Arabidopsis thaliana: one gene and its partners. The protein of the gene in region 2 interacts with the protein of the main gene of each other region in a biochemical or structural test. Each region holds a gene or a part of one and is shown on either strand. Other genes may lie near its edges.

Region 1 (7,902 bases), on a different chromosome or scaffold from region 2:
TGGTCAATAATGTTGCGTTTAATCATATGGACCAAAAAGATGTAAAGAAGATTAAGCAGGATTGTGATACTTCTGTGGGAGCTATAAAGGATACCTCAGCCGGTTTGGACTCATCTGTAACTAAAGGTAAAGTTGAGCCTGTGGAGGGGAATCTGGAAAATAGTGAAGTCAAGGAACGGTACTCAGGATTAAGAGCTACTCCAGGATTATCACCTAAAGAAGCTGAGGATCTTGAGAGACCGAATGGGCCTAAAACCAGTGATGCTGATGGAGATGAAGCGGGGGAATGTACGTCTGCTGCCAGAGATGCTTCTTCTGTTTCAGCTGCAGCTTCAGCTGGCTCTGAGATGGATGCCAGAGTTGAATTTGATCTAAATGAAGGTTTTGATGGAGACGATGCAAAACATGGGGACTCAAATAACTTCTCTGGATCTGTATTTTTGACGCCTACTCCTCTACAACCAGTTAAGACCTTACCTTTTCCGGTGGCTCCTGTATCTAGTGGAACTCGTGCATCTATTACTGTTGCTGCTGCTGCCAAAGGTCCGTTTGTTCCACCTGAAGATCTGTTGAGAAATAAAGGGGCTGTTGGTTGGAGAGGATCTGCTGCCACTAGTGCCTTCCGCCCAGCTGAGCCAAGAAAACCTCAGGATGTGTTACTGAGCATTAACAACACCTCTACATCTGATGCATCTACTTCTGCTGGCAAACAGACAAGGACGTTTCTGGATTTTGACTTGAATGTACCTGACGAGAGAGTCCTTGAAGATTTGGCTTCCCAAAGATCTGGAAATCCCACAAATTGTACATCTGATATCACCAATAGTTTTGACCAAGTACGTTCTGGGGTCATGGGTTCCGCCCTTGATCATTCTTCTGGAGGCCTTGATCTTGATCTAAACAAAGTTGATGATTCAACTGATATGATCAGCTACACAATGAACAGTAGTCATCGGCTAGATTCATCTTTTCAGCAGGTTAAATTACCATCGACTGGTGGTCGTAGAGATTTTGATTTAAATGATGGACCTGTGGGTGATGATGCAGCTGTTGAGCCATCTATGGTTCTAAATCAACATTCACGAAGTGGCTTGCCATCACAACCATCTCTCTCTGGAATTCGAGTGAATGGCGAAAACATGGCTAGTTTCTCAACTTGGTTTCCTGCTGCTAACGCTTATTCAGCTGTGAGCATGCCTCCAATTATGCCTGAGAGAGGTGATCAGCCTTTTCCAATGATTGCCACTCGTGGCCCACAGAGAATGTTGGGTCCAACAACTGGTGTTTCCTCATTTACCCCTGAAGGGTACAGGGGTCCTGTTTTGTCGTCGTCTCCAGCCATGCCATTTCAGTCCACAACGTTCCAGTATCCTGTCTTTCCTTTTGGAAACAGCTTCCCCGTTACCTCAGCGAATTTCCCTGGTGCTTCTACAGCACACATGGATTCTTCTTCAAGCGGGAGAGCTTGCTTCCCCGGTGTCAACTCTCAAATATTGGGTCCTGGAGTTCCAGTTCCGTCTAATTACCCAAGACCTTATATAGTTGGCCTCCCAAACGGTGGTAGCAATGGCGGTGTTTTGGACAATGGCGCGAAATGGTTTAGGTCAGGACTTGACTTAAATTCTGGTCCTGGAGGTCATGAAACAGAGGGAAGAGACGAATCAACACTTGTGGCAAGGCAATTATCCTCATCTGCTTCCTTACCTTTGAAGGAGGATCAAGCAAGAATGTATCAAATGTCAGGTGGTGTTCTGAAGAGGAAAGAACCGGAAGGAGGATGGGATGGATATAGGCAGTCCTCATGGCAATAACAGTAGCTCAGAATCTCAGTAGGCCACATGAGCTTGTAAGCCCTCGAAATCCACAAACCTTAGTGTTTTATGACCTCTCTTTTTGTTTTTCTCTCTCTTACTAATGTTTCAGTTACATTTTTACTCTGCTAGTTACTAAGAGATGAGAGTGAATGTGATGCCACAAGGCTTCATTGGCTGGCCTGCTCTGTACAAATGAGGCATGGGTGAGTCAATTTGCGACTTCACAGTGGTCTCAACCTTTTTAAGAACACAAACCTGACCTCTTGGTTTCACCATCATGTAGATCTTCCAAAAACAGTCCTAAATTCACCGGAGTGGCCATTCTCTTTCAGAAGAGTCATCAACAAGGTTCTCAGCGAGAGACCCGCATCACCACCTCCCCACAAAGAGTTTTAAAAGGTGAAAACACACTTTTAGGTCATTTTTCATGCATGTGTGTATCTCTATACACCGGCTCAAAAAACTAGCGATAAAACAAATGTTGGTGGCTTTTGAGTGTGTTCAAAATGATAAAAAAAAAAGTCTTTCGCATTGTGGCTTTACATGTGTGCGTTAGGTGATGGGGGTTGTATTATAGACACAAGATTAGTTACTTCTTTTTATCTTTCTTTTTCCAGTTTGTAGATTTATTACTTCTTGTGCTGGTTCTGTTTGAAATTTACAGGCTTCTTCTTACTTGTCACGCTTTTGTCGTTTGGTCTTGGATCTCATAATAGGACCAAATAAATTCGAATATGTGATTAAGGATTCACCTTTTTTCGAAAGAAGCAAGTGTTAACCACGTTAAGTCGTGAACTACTCCAAGTTTTGGCTACAAAATGGCTATAACAATTCTATAAGGGTCAAACCAAATCGAAACAAACAAACATCAGGGTCACATATACAAACAGAATCGAAGAAGCTACTAATTGAGGCTCATCTCTGCCAGAGTCTATGTAATTCCGACTTATCAGAATCACAAACTGGCCAATTAGAAAAGAAAAGAAAAAAAAAGAAGTGAACAATCATCAGATGGAATTGACTCATCAATTCTTCCCACACAGAATGTTTCTGCACAATAGAGAAGCCAATCTATAATCATTACACAAACAAACAAAACTGTATGAAGAAGCTAAAGGTTGCATAACCAAATTCTAGTATTACATAATTTCTTAGTTATATATTAAAAAGAGTGAAGATTATTGAACTTACGAGAGACATCCGCTGCGAGGCTTCTGCTTCTTCTTCTTCTCCTTTTGTTTCACTGCTGGTTTAATTACTACTTTAATAGCAGCATCAAATACGGCTTTCACATTCTGCAAAAGCCATGAACCAAAGAAAAGCATATAGTTTGCAAGTAAAGAGTCACCTAACACTAATGACTCCTAAGTTTCCAAACACACATGAACAAGTGTACCTGTTGAGTTTTTGAGCTACATTCAATGTAATAAGTCGCTCCGATATGCTTGCGGAGTTCCTCTCCCTGTAACACATGAATGATTAAATCATATAAAACCTAGAGAAGAGAGAGTCTAGAGAATGTCACAACAATCTTTTCGGTTTCTACAGGTTGAAAAAGCACACCTGTGATGTAGTTACCGGGGACAGTCCAGGATGATCAGACAAGTAATGTCTATCTTCACGAAGATCTAGATAACGGAACATTGTAAGAAACATTACATATATGTGATTCTCAAGCATTACACAAGGAAATATGTTGGCTCCACTCTTATAGCTATCTTACCCATTTTGGTACCAACAAGCACAATGGGGACTCCTGGTGCAAAGTGTTGGAGTTCAGGGATCCACTGAACAAAATAAACGCTTCAAAAACATCAGAAATTCACATTTCATTCTTTGTTTTCCCAGTAAGAAATACAATGAATCCAATTTCCACAAACCTTTTTAAACACATTCTCATAGCTAGCTCGGCTGATCAATGAGAAAGCCAACACAAAAACATCTGCTCCTCTGTAACTTAAAGGCCTTAGTCTGTTATAGTCTTCTTGCCCTGCAAACATGAAAGGGTACTCATAATCATAAAACTCTTAACAGTCACTAATCTTCAACACTCCCTATAAAGTTCTCTATCTAAGAATCCCAAATCAAAAGCAAACTTGCTAGATGTTAGAAAGATTAGAACCACATAACATTAGTGAACTTGGTTATTCTGAGATATTCAAGAGAGGGATACAGAAATGTTACTTACCGGCAGTGTCCCAAAGGCCTAAGTTCACAGTGATGCCTTCAACCACAACATTAACACTAAAGTTGTCAAAAACTGTTGGTATGTAGTCCTGATACAATCCATCAAGCAAATCTTTAACTTCACGAGAACAACAAATGCGCAATAGAGTAAGAGGAAACACTGGTGAATCAAGAAAGCCACTAACTTTACAATGTAAGATTTTTCAGAATCTCCAAAAAAGGATTATTTTTGCACAATCCCTAAAAAAGGAGCTAACTTTGAAATACCATGCTAAAATTCTCGGTGAAAGAGTTGAAATTTGACAGACCCAGAAGTATATTCAACTAAAAGTGACGAAATTGGAGATGCCCGAAAGAACAATTTGATGAAAAATCAGCGAAACTGTGATTTACTTGATCAAATTTTAAACTTACAGTAGGGAATTTGTTGCTAGTGTAGCAGATGAGCATACAAGTTTTTCCAACGGCACCATCTCCAACAGTCACACATTTGATGAATTTTGAAGCACTCGAAGCCATTCTAACTCACCAAAAGCAAACAACTTTCAACGAAGAAACGCCCAAAAACCAGAGAGATTGTGAGAGAGATAATAGAGAGATAAATGAAGTGATTAACATGAGGAAGTGTGGTAATAAACTATATAAACCCCATATGATTAAAAAAACTAAACTCTCTTTTTTTTCACTTTTCTTTCAATATTTTCAAAGTTTCAATTTTGTATTTTTGTCTCTTTCGTTTTTTGGTTTGAAGACTGAAGAGAGGGAAAGAAGAGGGGCTCACATGATATATCCATCTAATCCACATGACTTTTCTAAATCGTTTCATATTTATCGCTTTTACAAATGTATTAGATTTTAACCCGTGGTATACCGCGAGACGATTAATTTTTTAAAGGTAATATATATTAAAACTTGCAAATTTTATTTTTATAAAATATTTATATTTTACGGTTTATAATTGTTATTAAGTAACGCTATGCCACGAATCTATAAGACAATTGTTAAAAAACTGAAGTTTTAACCCTTATTAAAACAGCATATTAATAATATTTTATAATTTTATAAATATTGATTCAAATACATCCACCATATAACCGAATTCCAAAATAAAACTCGTTCTGTAATTTCTTTACCCGTCCCGTGAGTTTTTTTTTAAGTCGTAATTTTTAAAATTTAAGAATTATTTATTATATATAAAAGTTTTGCAAATTGTATCATTCTCTAATACATTTATATTTTATAGTTTAATTTTATATATAGTAACATTATACATATCACATAACATTTTTGGTTTTATATAATATTTTCTAAATTAGGATAATTTGATATGTTTAATATTAGTGGTCTTAAAAAATAATAAATTAAAGATTTTACCCGTATTGAAACGGTGGATTAATTATATTTTACTTTTTTATTAATGTTGATTCAAAAACCCGTCCTTCTAAATCCGTCTTGCCAAAAAGCCATTTATTTTATTCATATTAATTTTATTTATGATATGACTCTGAATTCTAAACATTTTAGCTAATAACATAGGAGTGCACCATATTTATTTAATAGGGGAATGTACCATATGACCCGAATGCACTTTTATCCAAATCCACCAAAAAAATCTTGCAAAAATACTATAGAGATAAGAAACGATAGTCGGTTTTAATAGGTATAAGATTAGCAAATATATTAGTTAGCTTAAATTAGTTAAAGAATACAAATTAAAAAGGTATATTACACTTTATTCGAATATAATATCAAAACTTATATAACACAGAGATTTGATAAATTTTTAATTGTTGAATACTTTTTTTTTGTACAAATTTTTATGTGATTAAGATTTATTGATTTCGTATATAAAATATTAAATTGTTTTACGAACTTATTTGTTTATAATTTGGTAACAGAAAGATATTTGAATATTCGGTATATTTTGCTTTAGTTTAGAAAATCTTTGATGACCCGTCTTTAGATTCAACAAGCCCTATAATTAAGAAATGAATATTGTCGTTAAATGATTTTGGTAACCTTAATGATGTCATTAAAAGATTTTGTTTTTGATTAAATTTTTCTAATGGTATTGTCATGTAATTAATTACAAAAATTAAGGTTACATTTAAAATGTATTTCCCAAATAATATAGTAGGATTAAAAGGATACTAAAAGCTAATCACATGCTTAAGAAGCATTGATTATAGTACGTTATTTCTTTTTCTTTATCGGTTGATCCTTCTTATTTTGTTTAGCATTAAAAACTGTTATATTTTGCCATCATTTTTTTTGTAAGATTCTGGCATTACTCATTACCAATTAATTGTATAGATTATTTCAATAAAACAAATTTTACCTGGTTCTAGCTAGGAGAAATGAACATAACTTGGTTAAACACATATGTAGTTATAGAAGAGAGAAAGATATATATATATATAGGAATTAGGATTAACTCTGAATTGGGGACTTTTAAGTTTTGGAAAATAGCAACCAAACTTTTCCTTCTTTTTTTCTGTAACATCTGCTATCAAACTTATTCATCAATCTTAGTAAAGTATAATTTTGTTATTTCAAAACAAAAGTATCCAAGCTAAATTGGGTTTTCATATCTGATTTGTGGGTTTGATAAAATTGGTTACACACTATCGTGCTGCCAAAAAAAACAATAGACCCAAAAGGCCCATGTCTTTGGCCTTGTATGGCTGTATCATCAGAGACAAGGCAAATGATCCATCAAATTGAGATAATAAACTAGTGCATATATAGTAATCTACGTGATGATTTGTTAATAGACAAGACGAGTTTGTTATTTGTTAATTAATGATAGATAGCAGATTTTAATGGAATACTCTTTATGAAGATCACATGAAAATAAGCTAATAACCGAAATTGTAATATCTTTCAATGAAAAAACAGGTGCGAATGTGCGATCATTCCTAATCATCTTATTTGCATGATGTTACTTTAATTTATGGTAAGTTGATCACACACATTTCAATGCATTTGTGATGAACTTAATAATTAACCAACCGAAAGCAAGAAGCTATATATATATCGCTTCTCTTGCCTATTTAGATCTCCAAGCCTCCACTTTCTTACACTTTCAACTTCCATTAAAAGCAATCAAAGCAAAAAAAAATGAAGATTCTTGTCTTGATTTTGTTTTCACTTAGCACCCTTCAAAATGTTTGTGGATTCGATTATAACGAAACAGAACTAGAGAGTGAGGAGAGTTTATTAAAGCTATACAACAGGTGGACGAGCCACCATCACGTTCCTATGAAGTTCGAAACAAAAGAAAATAGATTCTAAGTTTTATTAGGTCATTTTTCATGTTATTTCGGAAGACTTAGAATCTATTTTCTTTTGGCTTGAGTTTCATAGAAACGTGATGGTGGCTCGCCCACCTGTTATATAACTTTAATAAACTCTCCTCACTCTCTAGTTCTGTTTCGTTATAATCGAATCCACATATATTTTGGAGGATGCTGCTAAGTGAAAACAGAATCAAGGCAAGAATCTTCATTTTTTTTATCCTTACACAGCTATCAAATGAGAATGCGACCCTTCAAAGGCACAAGGCGTGAGGGTAACCATCGATCAATTCGCATTTGTAGATCCATTCAACGAGGCAGCCCTTCTCAAGGCTGTTGCAAGCCAACCTGTAACAGTTAGAATTGATGCTCATCATCCAGATTTTAAATTTTATTCAGGGGTAATCGAAAAATGTATGCATTAATAAATTCGCAGAGACAAACCCCCAGAGAATGGTTGGCAAAAAGCATAAAGCTATAAATGAAAATTTTCAGTATAAAACAAAAAAAAGTTTCAGTAAGACAAAGCAAAAATTAAACGAGAAATACGTTAACCAAAAAGGCCCAAAACGGATTTGATGCTGTTTCTGACGTGAACGTTAGAA
Region 2 (8,291 bases):
TCCATTCTGACGAGACCAGCAGCAACATCTTGTCCGGCTACAAAAACATCTTTCTGAATAGTATCCGTATCTTCTGTCCCGTCATCCAAGATTTCTTCACGGAACGCAACAATATTGGAGGGTTTAGCGCTGTACTTCCAGTAGCAACCACGGAGGAAGCCAAGATCAATTTCCGGCTTACTCCTGAACACCGAGGCCGTGAAGATATCTTTCCCGTGTGGTCCCATGTTCTGGAAATAGAAATGGGTTTTATCAGTTTGAACATGTATAATCACGTTCTATGAGGACTATAACTTCTTAGGAGTGAGAAAAATCAACTATACCTCCAGAATATTAAAGAAATTCTCGTTAAGAGAACAGCTCAGTAGACACTGAATCACTTTTACACATGCTATAACAACAGAGGCATGGTTGTCATCAAGAGCCATCCTAAAGAAGAAAAGAAACTTATATTGATAAGAACAAACAATTTATGATTTATGAGTGACAACTTCACAAATAAGTCTCAAAATTACACCCATCAGGAAATTACCTCAATGCTAAGACAAGCTCAGGTTCCGGTCCAAGGGCATAAGCCCAGATGGCTTCCCAGTCAGTGGATTTATCTTTTTCTTCCCTTGCGTAGCCTATTCTGCTTTGACAAAGTTTGTTCAAAGCTTTGTCGAGTACAGATGCAAGCAGATGCAAAGCAAGACATCTCTGCCCGGGAATCTGATATATATATCAATAATACATACAAATCAATGAGCAGTGATAACGAAAAAAACGCAGTCTCAGCCTACAGGTTTTGTTCAGCTAAAGCCAAAATGGAGGGAAAAAAGAATTTAACCATTAATTAGCATCAAAATTAAAATATGTGGCAATCATACATACCACACTTCGTGCAAGAGCAATAGCTTCTTTGATAGTGTAACCTGCGGCCCCAGGATCCCCCTCGGTTCTCAAGAAATCACGTTCGGCAGCAGATTCAACACCAGACCACTTTCCACCTGTACAGTCAAAGTGTAAGCAACCTAAGATTGTCATGTGTTTCAGTTGTATTGTTCTACTCACCAGTTTCAGCTGGCGAGACAACATCTTCCTCAACAACATTCCCGTCAAAAGAAAATCTCAAGTCTCTGGCTGCCTCAACCCTCTCAGTCCATGCATCCCACACGAATCCTTGGGCTATCCCTGGCTTTTGCACCACACTTTTTTCTTTCGGTATTGCCATCACTTTAGGAGTGACAAAATGACCCTCAGTTCTTGAATTCTTTGCTGTTTCATCGGTGATGGAAACCCCCTGCACAGAATGCTTTCGCTTCTTCAATTTTGCCTCACCTCGTTTCTTCAAAATGGAGAGTAGTGCAGGATCCATCTTGTCCAATAACTCAGCCTGAGCCTCAGCAATCTCGTCGGGTGACATTGTCTGCAACTTTGCATGGTTCTCAACATCAATATCACTTTCAAGAGACGAAGACGCGTGTCGAGTCCCAAGTCCATTCGAAACAGCTAGGGGAGGAGAAGCGTTTAAAGGAACCCTTTCCTTGGTTCCCAAATTTTTAATAAACGGTGCTTTATCAGAAACAAACTCTCTCTGGTCTGATGCCCTGGCAGCCAGTAAAGTGTTGCTGGATGTAGTGGCCGCATCGGCTGAAGCAACATAGGGCGGTCTCGTTTCAATGATCTTAAGTTTCCTTGATTGCTGAGGGACATGTGTGGATGCAGGATCATCCCCAGAGACCATATCTTTCCACCTCCCGAGGTCCATGTCTTTCTTCTCTTTTCTTTGAAGCGGTTTAGCAAAAGCAGCAATGGAGTCTGCATTCATGAAACGTTCTTCTGCTTCTTCTTCTTCCTGATCGTCATTGTAATCCTTAGGTTGTGCTATGCTGCTTCCCACAGGAGCCAAATGCTACAAAATCAAACATGAGAAACAAAAATTAGATGTCTCAGAAAGCTGAATTACAAGGTCAGGCACGGTGAAAAATTGTGGAGTCCCAAGTACTAAACAACAGTAGAAGGTGCTTAAAATCTAGAAGAAGGCAACAAAAGGAAGATGGAAACCTAAAAAGCACGCACTAGAGGATTGGATTGGCTTACGGGTCCGTGAGAACGATGACGAGCGACGGGGAAGGAAAGAAGGGAGGGCCTTGGGGGAAGCGGCTTGCTTGGAGGCTTATTCTCCGATATTCCTTTCTCCACGATGCTCCCGACAAGGCTCGCCAAGACGTTGTTCGGCTGTTCCGGATTGACTCTCCCGCTACTTTGCTCCATCACTCTAAACCCTCTCTCGCCTCCGCTCAGCAAAACGGAAAACTCTTTAAAACTCCGTGTCGTCCCGATAGCTTATAAGAACAAGTAAAAAATAACAAGAAAACCCCTTTCTGACTTTTTAATTATAAAATTGGAACATCAACTTTAATCCTGTGCAAAACAAACCATATAGTCATAGTCTATATTTGAACCAAAAGTTGTCGCTTTAGTGCAATGAAGAACATGATTAAATCACTCAAGAGACGGGTATGTGATGTTCATTCAGTTTTAGGACTTGGACCATAATCTTTGTAAACTTGGTAAATGAGCTAAGGAATTGATTTGTTAACAACATTTCAAAACTCCACATAAGATAACATTCTTGTTGCTATTACCACATTCGTCTTCGTAGTCAGACAAACAAGAAACAACTACAGTCTCTACAACCATTGATTTACATTCTTCTATTTTCAATCTTAATCTCTTTCCGGCGTCACTCCCGTTACTCTTCTTGAACTCAGATTCCCTGCATACGACCATGCTTTCTCTGTTTCTCCCACTATTCCCTTCTCTCTCGTCCCATTCCTCTTCACTGAATACAGCGGCGGTGCTCTCCTCGGGCTTCTTGATGCTACACTTAGGGCAGGCGTTGCAAATGGTGAACCGTGCGGAGAGCTCTGCACAGAGAACGCTTTTTGAGGGTTGAGTCCATTGATGCTGAATAGGGATAGCGATTCTGTGACAGAGATGGATCTTCTCATGGCATCATCAACATAAAGCACATCATCTATTCTGGCCGTGATGTTGAAGGCCATGCTCTCCATCACCCTAGAGTAACTCTCCAGAATTGATTGCCCTACATCCTGCAAGAACACACACAAACTCTTAAATTATCTAAGCATCGTTTCATGATGCAACCAGCAAAGCACACTCCAAACTATAATGTACCTTGTTGTACTGAATCTTGTTCATGTCCAGCGTTGTCTGGGGAAGTCCCGGGAAACGGATCCTGAGACTCTGCAAGAGGGTCTCGGCTCTCTGCACAAGGAAATCATTTCTTTCGTTGTCATTAACAAGGCCTTTAACCTTGCCACCCCAAGAAGACAGCTTTAGTTTCGCCTGCTTCTTGTGCCTCCTCCCATTCTTTTGTCTCCAAACATGCACAGCCGCCTCAATCCGGTTGGCGATTTCAAGAGTCTGATGTTCCGATGAGAGATCAAGACAGTCCAGGAGGCATTCGGGAGAGAACTTGTTTGCAGTTAAGTACTGGTAGATGATCTCTCCAAGACATTCCTTCCCGCTCTGCATTAAGTTTAAAATCATAACTCAATGAGCTAATCACATATAACGGTAAAAGAATTTATGCTCCAGCAGCAATGAAAAAGCTAATCCTTGAGCTCGAGAAGGCGCATACCTTGGGCAAAGTCTCCAAGTAAGGGTCGGGAATCTCCATTTCGGCAAGCACGCCACTGTTAATTGCCAATGCAGCCTTGAGAATCTGGTTAGCAAAGTCCCGACACTGCTGCAGTTTCTTCCTGGCCTCTTCTGACAAACCGTTAGGCGGAACCTTAGGGCAAGGCAGCCACCACTTGTCCTCCTGCCTAACGGAAGCTGGAGAATTGTAAGAATCCTTGTCACAATCACCAAGAACTATGCCGCGATCAGTGTACCAGAACTCAGTATCGGAGAAAGCGTCAAGCATATCGATCAACATAGCATCGAGCTTCTTGAGAGCAGGGAGATTGGCATAGAGATCAGAACGTGGACGGGTCTCCATGATCTCATAAGTTCCGCCTCCAGGGAACTGCTGAATGGAAGGAATGAGCTCAACGATAGAATCGCTAACACAGAGCAGCCACTCAAGTTCTCTGCGCCACATGGCCTTCTTCTGAGGAGCAAGAGGCTCAAGCCTCCATAGTTCGCCAAACACAGTCGCTGTGTGGACACTAGCCTTATTAAAAAACTAGAAACCCCTACTATATATACCAACTAACAAAAAGGGAAGAAGATTGAGATGGTACCAGAGAGATTGGTGATGGCGTTGGAGATAGCAAGCGCCGTACAAACCCCTTTACCTCCACCAGACATGTCTTCCCCGAGAAGTAGCTTAGCAAATCTCTCCTTCATCATCTCAATTTCTGAAACCCAATAGGAAACAAAAGGGAAATTGAATCCTAGTGTTCATCAATGTTTACAAAAGAGGTCAAATTTGGAAACTTTTATACCGGATAAATCGTTGTCTGGTTGTTTGTCATCCCAGACCACATCTTTGCCGCCGATCACCGGAAGCATGACTGGGGCCGGGAAGTAAAATCCTCTACCAGCGACAACTCGAGGGGAAGAAGGGATGGAGCTAGAGGCACCCTCGCCGTCGAAGCGGTGGCAGGAGAAGCTGCTGGAACTCTCGGACTCGCTAATGTCGGCGCTGGGACTGTAACTTCCGCATCTCTCGGAAGAGACTTCGTCGTCTTCCTCAGAAGATAAGCTCCCCATTATTGAAGCGGCAGAGATCTAATAACGGCTCAAAGAGTCCACATTTGGGTTAAGAGACAGACAGAGAAAGGAAGAAGAAGGAAGTGGATGTGATGATGATGCTTGTTTGATAAAAAGCAAAGCTCAGAGAGAAAGAGAGAGAGAGATGAGAGATAACAAATAAAAAAGACTCCTTTCATTTCCTCACTCACACTCTCTCTCTTCTTTTCTCTCCCATCCATCCATACTCACGGCGTTATCCTCTGCCGTTAGGGACAGGTATGAGGTTGGTAACAGATAAACCGTTAACTCACGGTCGTCACATTTTTTAACGGCGAGATTAAATTATATCCCACGGCCGTTCTCATAAGAGGAGCATGCGCTTGTGTTATATCAACCGTTGGATATTAAAAGTGAACCATCAGGATCTTTTCTACAGAGCAGAATTGAGAATCTCGAAGCGACCGAGAAAATAAAGAAAGGCTGACATTGTGTGGACTAGAAGTATTCCTTGTCGGATCATCAGACTCTCTCGTACCACACCGGCCTGAACTACGTTGCACCATATCTATCCTCGTGATTTTACGCCACGTGTATTACGCCCATTCGCCTGATCTACACTGTCCATAGTATTCTGGCGTCATTAAAGTATTCACATCGTACGGTCTAGATTGCGTTTGGCTTACTTATTTCGTGGATTCCGCTGTTTTCGGTTATGGTTTTTTCACGCAACGAATCTAAGCCGTTGATTATATTACTCTTCTTAATTCAATTCATTAAAGTACCTATTTAATGCCCTTTGAATTCGGGTTAATATAGTAATCTACAATATTAATGTCACTGATCACTAGAATATGCTATGGATTGGTGTTGATTCACATGCATGGCTTAATTAGTTGACTCTCTGCTCTTTTTTTTTCTTCTCTAAAAGGCTTTTAACCTTCCAAATAAACGTTTGTTTGTCTTGGCATTATTAGCAAATCTTTTCCATTGCCATGTTTTTCATTCGATTGACAGCCTTGTAATTTGTAATTGCAAGGTCAACAAAAACTTTGACCAAATAGAACAACTTTCTATACCAATAAACATTCTACATCTACCGGTGGATAATAATTTAAATTTTTATTTCATCGTTAAAGTCTGTTTATTCGAAATTAATGTTTCTAATATGTTATGTATGGTTTTTTTTTTTTTTTAATTTACTCTCTCTCTTCAAACTATACTATTTTGCTTGGTGATATGGTAGAGTTACTTGGTTGATTCATATGAAAACATTGCATTTGCCTACAAAAATTAACTTCAAACTTAGCAATAACCGTTACAAAACAGTAAAATTTTCATCAAATTTGGGTATACATTACAATTTTTGAAGTATATATAATAATTGTGCAACATATATCTAGCTATTGAAATTATAAAGAATAAAGAACTCAATATAATAAAATACATATCCCTAAATCAGCCATTGACGATTGGTCTGAGTAGAGTCATTAAGGAGTGGTGTGTTTATTGGAGGCTCGGCCACACAACAAAGCATTCTTAGGCAAAAGATATTCATCTCTAAGAGAGTGTGTTGGAGAATAAACTCGAAGGTAGAATTGTTGACCCAAGTATTGCCTCGCCCAATATTCACTCCTTAGATTCCACATCCCCACATTGTCCAGTGCCACATATACGGCTGTCCAAGATTCTGGATATACCTACAACAACCAAATACTAGTTTTGAGATGATTTTTTAAAATTTTTGGTAAGATATATGGAGTTAGAAACTATTTGTACCTGAGTGGTGGAGCGAGAAATAGCATCCCTAAGATTATACTCTCGTCTGCTTGCTTTTGACCATGTTCCTCTATCCGTCCTGTGGACAGTACTCACAAACATCAGATGCATGCAATGCATTATTACTAGCTACTATATATAGAGGACGATAGATATAGCTAATCTTTAATTATTCTCACCCAACAACCCAAAAACTATATCCATCGAGGTGGTAGCTTTGGACGATCTTCTCGCGGTTTTGAAATATGATTTCAAGGAAGTCTCTATGGTGTGCTCCCATCACTGACGTCTCCATTCTCATCCCTCTTCCTCTTCTCGGCTTGTCAGGTATGCTTCCCATTTTGAAAACGCCTTTGATCTTGAAGTAATCCGCAAGCTTTAGCGGAGTATCTCCAGGTACAAACGACACTCCGTTTATGGCGTAGCGTTGCTTCCTCTTCACTAGTGCCGCTGAGCTTTCCAATATCAAAGTCCTAGAAATCTTGATTCGACCATAGTGGTACGAACCCTGAGGGTTAGGCCTTGGCCCAGACGCGGTTAGATTGGTCCTAATGGACCGGGCTTGTTTGATAGACCAATCTAGTTCATCGGCAGGTTGTTGAACATGGACTGAATTAGCAGAAGATGAGTGGCTATGTCTTGAGTTGGAGTAGTGGATAGTAGATGAGACCAAGAGTTTTTTGGCGACAAATTTTGTGGAGACGACAATGTCATAGTCTTGGTCAGGCTGGTCCATGGTGACCAAGACCGAGTAAGACTGTCCAACGTGAATGTCGAGAGAGGTATACATGGACTGGACTGTGTGTGTTCCCTCTACCTCAACGAGCTTCATCTGATGACCTTGGATTCTGAAATTCAGAGTGTGTTGAAGCCCTACATTCGATATCCTAAATCTGTATGTTTTACCTGATAATTGTTCCACAACAAAAAATAAATGATGAGATAATATAATGCTTTTCTTCGTAATCAAAGTATTTGAGTGTTTTTAGGATGAACCTTTGTGGACGGTGATGGAAGACATGTAACTGACTCCTTGGCCATTGATCAAAACCCCTTGAGGCAAAGGTAGCTTGTGTCCTCTATCCAAAATTGCCTTCAAAACCTGAATAATGTTACATTTAATTATGGTCCTTGTATAACAATGACAAATACTAAAACGAACATAATTTGTTAATTCAAGAAAGAAATACCTTGTGGTCATGCTTAAACCAATCACCAATGAGGAAGGTGAAATCTCCAGCGGGTTCAGGGAAAGGGACGGGGATGCGAGGGCGGCTGAGGATACGGAAACCGCCAAAACCACCGGCAGCTTTGTGAACGGCGAGGGAAGGGAAATAGAAGAAACTACCGATCTGGTCTTTGACTTGGATGGCATAAGTGTAGTTTTTACCCGGTGGGATTGGACAAGTCGTCCCATACACTCCATCTTGGTAAGAATTCTTCCTCAGTTGCACTCCGTTCCTTCATTAGTATTTACCATTTTGTATTATATTAATTCATTGATATTATATTAACATGAAAACTTGACGTCTCGCCACCAATATAATCTCTAACAAGAATGTGAAGAAACAACACTAGTGCATGCAAATTGGCTCCATCATGCCATTTACCAAACTCCAATATCTATTTCCTCTAATATAACTAATGAATGAAAGAAAATGGTAGAGAAGGGGAGCTAGATAAATGGTACCAAGATAAGAGAAAGGGCTCGTCGAGATCGTTGTGAACATTGATGATCAAATTGTCATTGGTGACTGAGTAAATATCGGGTCCTGGATATTGTCCGTTTATCAGGATTCCCTGCG
Region 3 (3,662 bases), on a different chromosome or scaffold from region 2:
CCAGTTGTCACTGCTTTCTCTTAATGGTTTTACGAGTCAAATGCAGGTATCTCTACTTCCTGGAGAAAGGAAACCAACAAGTAACAGGCGATACAATCAAGAGCTTAGCTGAATTAATCAAAAGCGAGACAAAGAAGGTTGAGTCAGGCGCAGAGCCATTCATAAATAGTACTCTACGTTACATCGAGTTTCAGAGACAGCAAGAAGATGGTGGCATGAATGAGAAATACGAGAAAATCAAAATGGAATGGTTTGAATGAATTTATTTCTTGCATTCTGTTAGGCAAATCATCAATAATCAATGGCTTCTCGTCTTGTTGCAGAAGCATGAAGAGTAATCTTGAGAAATAAAACTTGTATCATTACTTTTCATTTCCTAGTTACACTCTCTACCAATAAACATGTTTGCAAAGTTTAAAACAGTAACATACAAAATATGGTCAGCTGAAGAAATGGTGGGAATGAAAACTGATTCAAAACATGTGGTGTTTGTGTGGAATTATGCATAGGACTGAATCGTAGAAGCAAAAGAAACGTTGATTCCGACAAACTCCATTAATATTAAGAACAAAAAGGACCAGTCAAACTTGGGTGTCTGTCCATTAACACATTGATTCATTCATTGTTAGAAGATTAATATACCAAAACCAAATACATAAAAACAGAGATTTCCAATCATCATAGAATGGAGCATGCCTTCTGCGCTTTGCTCTTCTTCTTCTTCTGCTTTGGCGGTTGCAACACCACTCGGATGGCTGCGTCAAACACCGCCTTCACATTCTGCACTCTCACATCATCAACATTAGCATTAACATTAACATTAGAAATCTGCAACAAGGGTATATATACTAATCTACGTACCTCTTGAGTTTTGGAACTGCATTCGATGTAAGTAGGTGCTCCTATTTGCTTCCTCAGCTCCTCTCCCTGAGCAGTAGTAATCGGAACAGCACCAGGATGGTCGATAAAGAACTGTTTATCATCTCGAAGATCTGGAGAGCAAAAACACAAACTCAGTCACAACTAATAAAGTAAAAGGAGCGAGATCAGGAAAAAACAATGGAAAACTCACCAAGCTTTGTTCCAACAAGGACGATGGGGACACCAGGCGCGTAATGTTTCAACTCCGGGATCCACTGCAAACACAATTTGTGACAAGAGTTCAAAAAATGTGACGAAAACTCAATAATATGAAACAAGATTGATGGATTTTTAAAACCTTTTTGGAGACGTTTTCATAACTGGCTTTACTGATAAGAGAGAAGGCCAAAATGAAAACATCTGCTCCACGGTAACTCAGTGGTCTTAATCTATTGTAATCCTCTTGCCCTGTTTATTCATACCCAAATTTTCAAAATCTTCAGATCCAAAAACCATATTCCAAATTTCAAACACCAAGATATATAGGAAAATGAAAAACCTGCAGTGTCCCACAATCCAAGATTCACAGTGCTTCCATTAACCACAACATTGGCACTGAAATTATCGAAAACGGTAGGCACATAATCCTGTATATCCACAAAAGAAACAAGAAACATGAGATATGTTGTTGTTGTGGTAATGAAACAAGAAACATGAAAGAATAATTGGGACATAACCGTAGGGAAAGTGTTGCTTGTGTAAGAAATCAACAAACAAGTTTTTCCGACAGCTCCATCACCAACCGTCACGCACTTTACGAACCTCGAAGCGCTCATTTCCCCTCAAAGTTTATTAATTTCAGGGAAATTTATAAAAAAAAAGATCTCAAAGATTTAGCCTTTGGAATTGGAGACTCTTGATATTTCTATTGATCGACCATCTGGGCATTGCGGATTCGAAACGATTGGAGTTTGTCCCAGAGATTAGAAACCCTATTACCCAAAAAGATAGAGGGGAAACAAAAAAAATGAAAACTGGAAGATGGCACAAAAACCGAAAAAAAACAAAGAGTTAGTTAGAGTTAGCTTTGGCCGGGAAAAATGGCGTTGAAACGTTCCGCTAACCAAACTTGTCTTTCTATTTCCGATTATTGTGGATTTCCTCTTTTAATAGCTCCCAACTAATCAAAATTACCAATCGATTGTGTGTTTATTTATGGGAAATCAAATTAGGCACTTGTCTTTTTCTGCCGCTCAAACGAATCATCTCTCTTTTCTTCTGTTACGTACACATCACGAGTGTTTGATTATCATTAAACTTGCTTACTTCTTTAAGCAATCCCCTTAACTACCTCACTAACTAACTAACTAACACTTCTCCAATGTTAATAATACCTTGGTAGGTCACCTTCCAATGATTTGACTTGGCTAAGAAGTAGTTGAATTGATGAAGTTTCAAGCAGTGATTCAATGAAAAGTCATTTAACCAATTTCATTTCGAAAACAGCATAAACTCAACCTAACATTCAACCAAAAGATTAGCTTGGATCAAGCAAAAACAGAGAGCAAATGGTAAAACAATTTGTCTTTCTCTCTTTAAGGAAGCAACCTCTTAACCTCCTCTTGATCCTCACCGATGCTCTTAGCTTGGTTGTACACAGACTCAAAGGCTTGCATACACACACTTGAAAACCCAACCATTGCCTGAAAGACATGAGGGAAACCCATCTGCAAGTTATTTAGAGTCATGGCTCTAGTCACACTCACTGACTTCTCATGCTTACTTTTCTCTTCTTCTGCTTTTCCTTTTAGCATCTCAACCTTTACTCTCTTCTCTATCACCGGGTTCTTTTTCCTACTCTCAGGTACCGAGTATGGACTATACTTGCTCTCAAGCGCTCTCAGCGAAGCCGATTTCTTCTCGAAATCTTTTAACATGGATTCTGTTCTCTTCTTTTGCTTATGCTCGTCGGCTTGTTGAGCCACAATTCCATGGACTGCTGTCAGAAAGCTTTTGATCCCTTCAGATGCTACTTTATCAGGGATCCTGTCAATAGCTAAATGCCATTCCTCGCAGAAGCTGTAGATCTTTGACTCGTAGCTACTCCTAACAAGTGGATTCTTGCTGAACTGGAACAGACTTAACCTGAGCCAGCCCGTGAGAGATTGTATGTAGTCACGTTGGGCCTTGACCAAGTTGCAGAAAGAGTGATGCCATTGTTGGACCTCGAGCTCAAGCTGAAGAGTTGATTGTCGGTGAAGCTCAGATGTTGGTTCAGTGGAGGGGATGGTGTTAAGGTACTTAAGCTGCTGCACAATATGGGTTTGAACCTGGTGGCTCTCGTACATACTCCTCCACATACACATTAGCCTACATTACATTCATACAAGAACCTTGTTCACATTGACCAACATAAGATACTTTAGGTTAATGAAGCAATGGGAATGCACAAAACAAACCCTTTAACAAGCTCGACAAGCTGAGGGTAAAGCTCGGTCTCTCTGAGCTTGATGATCTCGTTAGAGGCGCTTTGGATGGCTTGTGAAGATACTGAGAGCTGAGATTCTAACTTCTCGACGTCTTTCTTAGCCTTCTCAGTCTTGACATACTCAGCTCTCTTCATCTCAAGCCTCCTCACTTGCTCCACTTTCTTCTCATGATCCATCTTTATGCTCTCTGCATACTGCAACAAAACCCACATTCAAAAAACAACAAACACTCACTCACTACTTGGCAAGATATTTGTGCCAGTGTACATAACACATTATTCATCAGAATTAAGTACACACGTGGGTCTCTTA
Region 4 (4,747 bases), on a different chromosome or scaffold from region 2:
CATGCAGGTTTCGAACCTGCGACCTTCGCGTTATTAGCACGACGCTCTAACCAACTGAGCTAATGGGCCATTTGTTCAAATTCTTCACAAGTCAGTTAAACTTCAAAAGCGAAATGAAGTGCATGTTGTGAAATGGCATCGTTTAGCAACATGACTATTTTTTTTTGGAACTTATATGTTGTTCTACACGAGGTAAGAACGGAGGCGCTGGCTAGTTGCATGGTGAAGACTGAAGAGAGCAGCTTCATCTTTTTGAGATTGCTCTGTTTTTGGGTTTGTTTCTCTTGTTTTGAGGATTGTGTGATGGATGAGAAGTGGAGTTTGAGAGGTTTATTTATAAGAAAATATATTAAAGAAGGTAATGACTGGCATAGTTGAATGCAAAATTCTGATTTTTGTATCACAATACTGAAACATTCAGAACTTTTAAAGACTTATATGCATCACAATTTTTTGGATGAAGTATTCAAGACAATAAAATATACCAAATTGCACCATTTGTTAAATTAGAATTGGAAGAATGAGAACAAGTAATATGTTCAAATTAGTAGACTTAAGTAAAGTTGAAGTGGAAAATCCATCATCTCTGTTTTCTTCAACTAGTCATTGAAATCGAAGGAAGAATAGAGAAGTGGTAAGTGCAATATTAGGTCTCAGCTAAAGCTGGAAACTATTCATCAATAAACAGAAATAATCGTTTTTTTAAGGATTAAGAGAGCTTATCACAACGAACTCTGGAACAATTTTTAAGCCCAATGTGTTTTCTTCTTAAGCCTTCACTAGAAGAGTGGAAGAGACAGAGAGACAGAGAGAGATACGTAAGAGAAGCGTAGAGAAATTACAAAATGGAGCAGGCTTTTTGTGCTTTGCTTTTCTTTTTCTTCTGCTTTGGAGGTTGAAGAACCACTCGGATCGCTGCATCAAATACTCCTTTCACGTTCTGCAATTTCATTAAAAAAAAGCTTTGAGAAAAGCTAAGTAAAGAAGCAGAGTAGTACTCAAAACAAAAGGGAAAGTTTTTGTGTCTTGCCTCTTGTGTTTTTGAACTGCACTCGATGTATGCGGGAGCTCCAATTAGTTTCTTCAGTTCCTCTCCCTTTGATGCCCAAAGTGGTGAACGGTTAAAAGGGTTCGTTTAAGTAACAGGCTAAGTAAATTGACACATTTCAAAGAAAAATTCTGTTTACCTGAGCAGTAGTAATTGGTACAGCGCCAGGGTGGTCAATGAAGAACTGTTTGTCATCCCGAAGATCTGGCATATATGATGAAACACAAAACATAAGCACCAGACGAAACTCATAACTATTAAAAGTAGGTCTAGACGGATCAGACAGCAGGCCGAAAGTTAAGCATTGGTATTAAAAGTAAGAAACAGAATCCGTTACACCAATTTTGGCACAACATCTTGTATAAGCCTTTTCTATTAGGTTTATAATTGCTAGACATCCAACAGCTGCTTACATGCATGTAGTTGTCTCTTACAATGGAGGTTAACTATCAAGAGAAAATGTGAGATATGATCCATAACGTATCGCGGAATTCATTAAAAATGATGACGAAACATCACAGACAAGCTTGTAAACCTAGATTATTTCAGGATTTGTGATACTCCAAAATCCAGGCCTAGTTTCCGCTAGACACAAAAGAGCTAAAAGGTACTACATGGATATATCTTGGACGTGAACAAATCAAATTAGCAGACATATATGTCAAAAAACGAGCTTACCTAGTTTGGTTCCAACAAGAACTATAGGGACACCAGGGGCATAATGCTTCAGCTCTGGGATCCACTGCAAAACGAAGATAAAGCAGCAAAAATCACAACCAAAAGACTTTCTTCAGAGTATTCATATCAAAACTTGTAGCAAACATTCATTTCAAAAACGTACCTTCTTGGAGACATTCTCATAACTAGCCTTACTGATAAGAGAGAATGCTAAGATGAAAACATCAGCACCGCGGTAACTCAAAGGTCTTAATCTGTTATAATCCTCCTGCCCTGTTTACAACAACAAAACAAAAGTTTCAGACCCCAAATCCCATAGCTGCCGCTACTACTAAGTAAGATCCCTATTATTTAGTCAGTACCTGCGGTATCCCATAGCCCAAGATTCACAGTGGCTCCATTAACAACCACATTTGCGCTAAAGTTATCGAAAACAGTCGGTACATAATCCTGTTCCACATGAATTTACAAGATTCAATGAGATACAAAGCTCCACAAATCCTCATAACACCAAAAAAAAATTATGGATCGATTCATGTATTGCCACAAGCTTTGGTCTCATCAATCAATAGAGAAGACAATTTTGAAGCTTGTAATTCACAGAACACAGAATATGATTCAATCTAAGGAAGGAACATTATACCGTAGGAAAAGTGTTGCTGGTGTAAGAAATCAGCAAACAGGTTTTACCAACAGCTCCGTCGCCAACGGTGACACACTTTATGAACCTCGAAGCGCTCATTTCTCTTCTTCTTCCTTCTCCACCAGAAATGGAGCTACGTACGTCTATGTATGATCACAACAAACAAAATTTTGAAAAAAAAAAAAAAGAATCTCTAATTCAAAAATAGCAACCTCAGATCTACAAAACCTGAGGAAACAACCTCAAATATAAGCTCTCAAAAGCGTTTTATTTTTCCTTTCAATTCACCATCTCCGGTACAAAGGGAACAAGAAAAACCCTAGAAATGTGAAAAGAGAGGAAACCCTAAATTGGAATCGGAAATGTGAGAGATCAAAGAAGGGATCAAAGAAGAAGAATGGACGACGTTAACAACGATGAATCGAATTCTAGAGAACAACAACAAGGGAGAGAGAAAGAGAAAGTAGAAGAAATGTGATGGCCGGAAATTTATGCCATTGAAGCGTTCACAAAACGAACAATCTCCTCCATCAACTTTCTCCGATTGTTTTGCTTTTTTTTTTTCTCGTTTCTTTTCTGTTTTATTTTGTTTTTAAAAAAATTTAACCTACAATTTGTTTTTTTTTTAAATTTTATTATTTTTTCAAAATTTTTTAAGTTGATTTCGTAAACTGAATTTCTATTGATATATTTGAAGGCTGAAGCCTCACAAAGGTTGTTAATTATGCGTTATACAATGGTATTGAAAATGTTTTTATGCGTCAATAATCATTCAACAGAATACATAAAATGAATACTTTTTTCATGAAGGACATTATCTAATATGTAATATCCAATGTTAAACTCAGAATACTAAAGATTCGTATAAACACACATCAAACTCCACAAGTTACAGACCATGAACCGCCTTGAAAATCCGAGGAATAAAACTAGACCTAAACCCGGGTTTACATTTCGAGCAGCAAGCAACACAATATCAGTCCCTTTCCGATTCTCAAACGACTCAAAGCAAAGCTTTTTTTTTTTTTAATAAAAACAAACCGACTTCTTTTGACCAACATGAGATTCTATACTTTGATCGCCTGGTATCTCTCACCAATGGCACCCTCTTTCTGCTTTTGGAACTCCATGAACTCAAGCGTAGTTGCAAAGAATGATTCAGCAGATGGATCAGAGGGCATCGATTCTTCGTTCTTGATCAGTTTTATCAGGCTTTCTACTGATTCAACTGTTATCTGTGGAACCCCTTTCTCATAGAAATAGAGGTACCTGCCATAATTCACATTACATAATGCTGCTTGCTGATCTGGGAAAATGAGAAGTAAAACAAACAATAAAAAGCGCTTACTTGTTTAGTATCTCGATGAAGAGGGTAACAGACCCTGTACTACCCCGAGCTGTGTTGGCCACTTGTTGAGCCGAATTTGCAATTTTAAGCGCTCGTTTCAGACAAAGTAGAACCCTGATTTCAAGTAAGAAACCTAATGAGCTATTTTAAACACACTGTGTTCTATCGCACAGAAGAAAGTATTACCTTTCTCCATCTTGTATGGTCTCACGATCTTCCAGCCAGAACAAATGAGAACAGGCATAAACAGCTCGACATTGATCAGGTTTCTTTAGAAGTTTCGCTGCATACTGCAAGAGTATAAGTTTTCCCTTGTCAGCCTTTAAGCAGAGACAATTGAATATGGTAAGAGACTAATTATCATATCATGATGAAATACCCCCGTAGCCTTGTGCGTTAATGTATCTCTATTCTCAACACCAAATACTTGCATCCTCTGCAGAGTTCCAATTATAAGTTGTAACGCAGTCACCTGGGCCTTTGAGTCCTGTTCAAAAGGCAAGTTTTTGACGCACGAGAGAGAGTTAAACTCACCTACTTGCTTTGGTTTAGACACGAGACATATGAACGTCCGCGAAAACATAACTAACCGAAATTTCTTCTTCGTATAAGATGTATGCCTGGGTGAAAAATTCGTATGCAATTGGTTCTTCATCACACTTATCCGCAGCCTGATGAAATAGGAAAGATCTGTGAGCATTTTACCGAGCAAGTGCATACTAAATAAACAGGTACGTAGTTTTACCTCAGCACATTGCAAGTACAACCGGAATGCCAGGTCAGGTGATGGAACATTAGGTAGCGCTTCGATAATCTGCAACAAGCAAAAAAATCCAACAATAAATACAAGAACTGATGACTGTAGTGGAGACAGAGCAATAACAGCAGTCTCTTTAGCTAATATCTACAAACTGTTGATTGAGAATTTTCAACGTTGTCAATCAGCTTGTATGAACTAACTTTGGCTAAGTTTTAAAAAAGTAATGTAGCTCTGAGACACATTGTTCTACCTAAAAACAGATCTGAACAC

What was found.
Region 1: of the proteins of ROPGEF1 (region 2) and ROP10, one has a biochemical effect on the other in vitro, tested with the Arabidopsis thaliana proteins (one study listed by BioGRID).
Region 3: the proteins of ROPGEF1 (region 2) and ROP1 form a complex in vitro, tested with the Arabidopsis thaliana proteins (one study listed by BioGRID).
Region 4: of the proteins of ROPGEF1 (region 2) and ARAC1, one has a biochemical effect on the other in vitro, tested with the Arabidopsis thaliana proteins (one study listed by BioGRID).

The regions. Positions count from the first base shown.
Region 1 is NC_003074.8:17,728,179-17,736,080, reverse strand, and holds ROP10 (RHO-related protein from plants 10), read right to left. Parts: upstream 4,745-7,902; 5' UTR 4,521-4,744; coding exon 4,416-4,520; intron 4,091-4,415; coding exon 4,003-4,090; intron 3,805-4,002; coding exon 3,695-3,804; intron 3,602-3,694; coding exon 3,538-3,601; intron 3,443-3,537; coding exon 3,378-3,442; intron 3,277-3,377; coding exon 3,211-3,276; coding exon of another isoform or gene 3,169-3,210; exon of another isoform or gene 3,110-3,168; coding exon 3,006-3,109; intron 2,865-3,005; coding exon 2,840-2,864; 3' UTR 2,568-2,839; downstream 1-2,567. Other genes in the region: protein SUO, read left to right, coding at 1-1,811. UniProt on the Arabidopsis thaliana protein: Acts as a negative regulator of abscisic acid (ABA) responses.
Region 2 is NC_003075.7:17,983,080-17,991,370, reverse strand, and holds ROPGEF1 (rho guanyl-nucleotide exchange factor 1), read right to left. Parts: upstream 4,988-8,291; 5' UTR 4,729-4,987; coding exon 4,461-4,728; intron 4,374-4,460; coding exon 4,257-4,373; intron 4,171-4,256; coding exon 3,650-4,170; intron 3,538-3,649; coding exon 3,184-3,537; intron 3,099-3,183; coding exon 2,712-3,098; 3' UTR 2,502-2,711; downstream 1-2,501. Other genes in the region: IYO (RPAP1-like, carboxy-terminal protein), read right to left, coding at 1-230, 324-429, 533-711, 874-989, 1,054-1,894, 2,083-2,256; sks9 (SKU5 similar 9), read right to left, coding at 6,198-6,407, 6,487-6,565, 6,666-7,392, 7,483-7,588, 7,677-7,947, 8,177-8,286. UniProt on the Arabidopsis thaliana protein: Guanine-nucleotide exchange factor (GEF) that acts as an activator of Rop (Rho of plants) GTPases by promoting the exchange of GDP for GTP. Acts downstream of PRK2 in the control of polarized pollen tube growth by activating ARAC11/ROP1.
Region 3 is NC_003074.8:19,041,232-19,044,893, reverse strand, and holds ROP1 (RHO-related protein from plants 1), read right to left. Parts: upstream 2,037-3,662; 5' UTR 1,698-2,036; coding exon 1,599-1,697; intron 1,509-1,598; coding exon 1,421-1,508; intron 1,330-1,420; coding exon 1,220-1,329; intron 1,137-1,219; coding exon 1,073-1,136; intron 993-1,072; coding exon 862-992; intron 781-861; coding exon 679-780; 3' UTR 501-678; downstream 1-500. Other genes in the region: VPS35C (VPS35 homolog C), read left to right, coding at 47-260; AT3G51290 (pyridoxal-phosphate-dependent serine hydroxymethyltransferase, putative (DUF632)), read right to left, coding at 679-780, 862-992, 1,073-1,136, 1,220-1,329, 1,421-1,508, 2,478-3,231, 3,321-3,544. UniProt on the Arabidopsis thaliana protein: May be involved in cell polarity control during the actin-dependent tip growth of pollen tubes. May regulate callose synthase 1 (CALS1) activity through the interaction with UGT1.
Region 4 is NC_003071.7:7,738,034-7,742,780, reverse strand, and holds ARAC1 (RAC-like 1), read right to left. Parts: upstream 2,995-4,747; 5' UTR 2,469-2,994; coding exon 2,370-2,468; intron 2,177-2,369; coding exon 2,089-2,176; intron 2,000-2,088; coding exon 1,890-1,999; intron 1,791-1,889; coding exon 1,727-1,790; intron 1,253-1,726; coding exon 1,188-1,252; intron 1,097-1,187; coding exon 1,031-1,096; intron 941-1,030; coding exon 839-940; 3' UTR 501-838; downstream 1-500. Other genes in the region: VPS35A (vacuolar protein sorting-associated 35A-like protein), read right to left, coding at 3,437-3,638, 3,718-3,831, 3,904-4,007, 4,097-4,204, 4,308-4,388, 4,463-4,531. UniProt on the Arabidopsis thaliana protein: Inactive GDP-bound Rho GTPases reside in the cytosol, are found in a complex with Rho GDP-dissociation inhibitors (Rho GDIs), and are released from the GDI protein in order to translocate to membranes upon activation.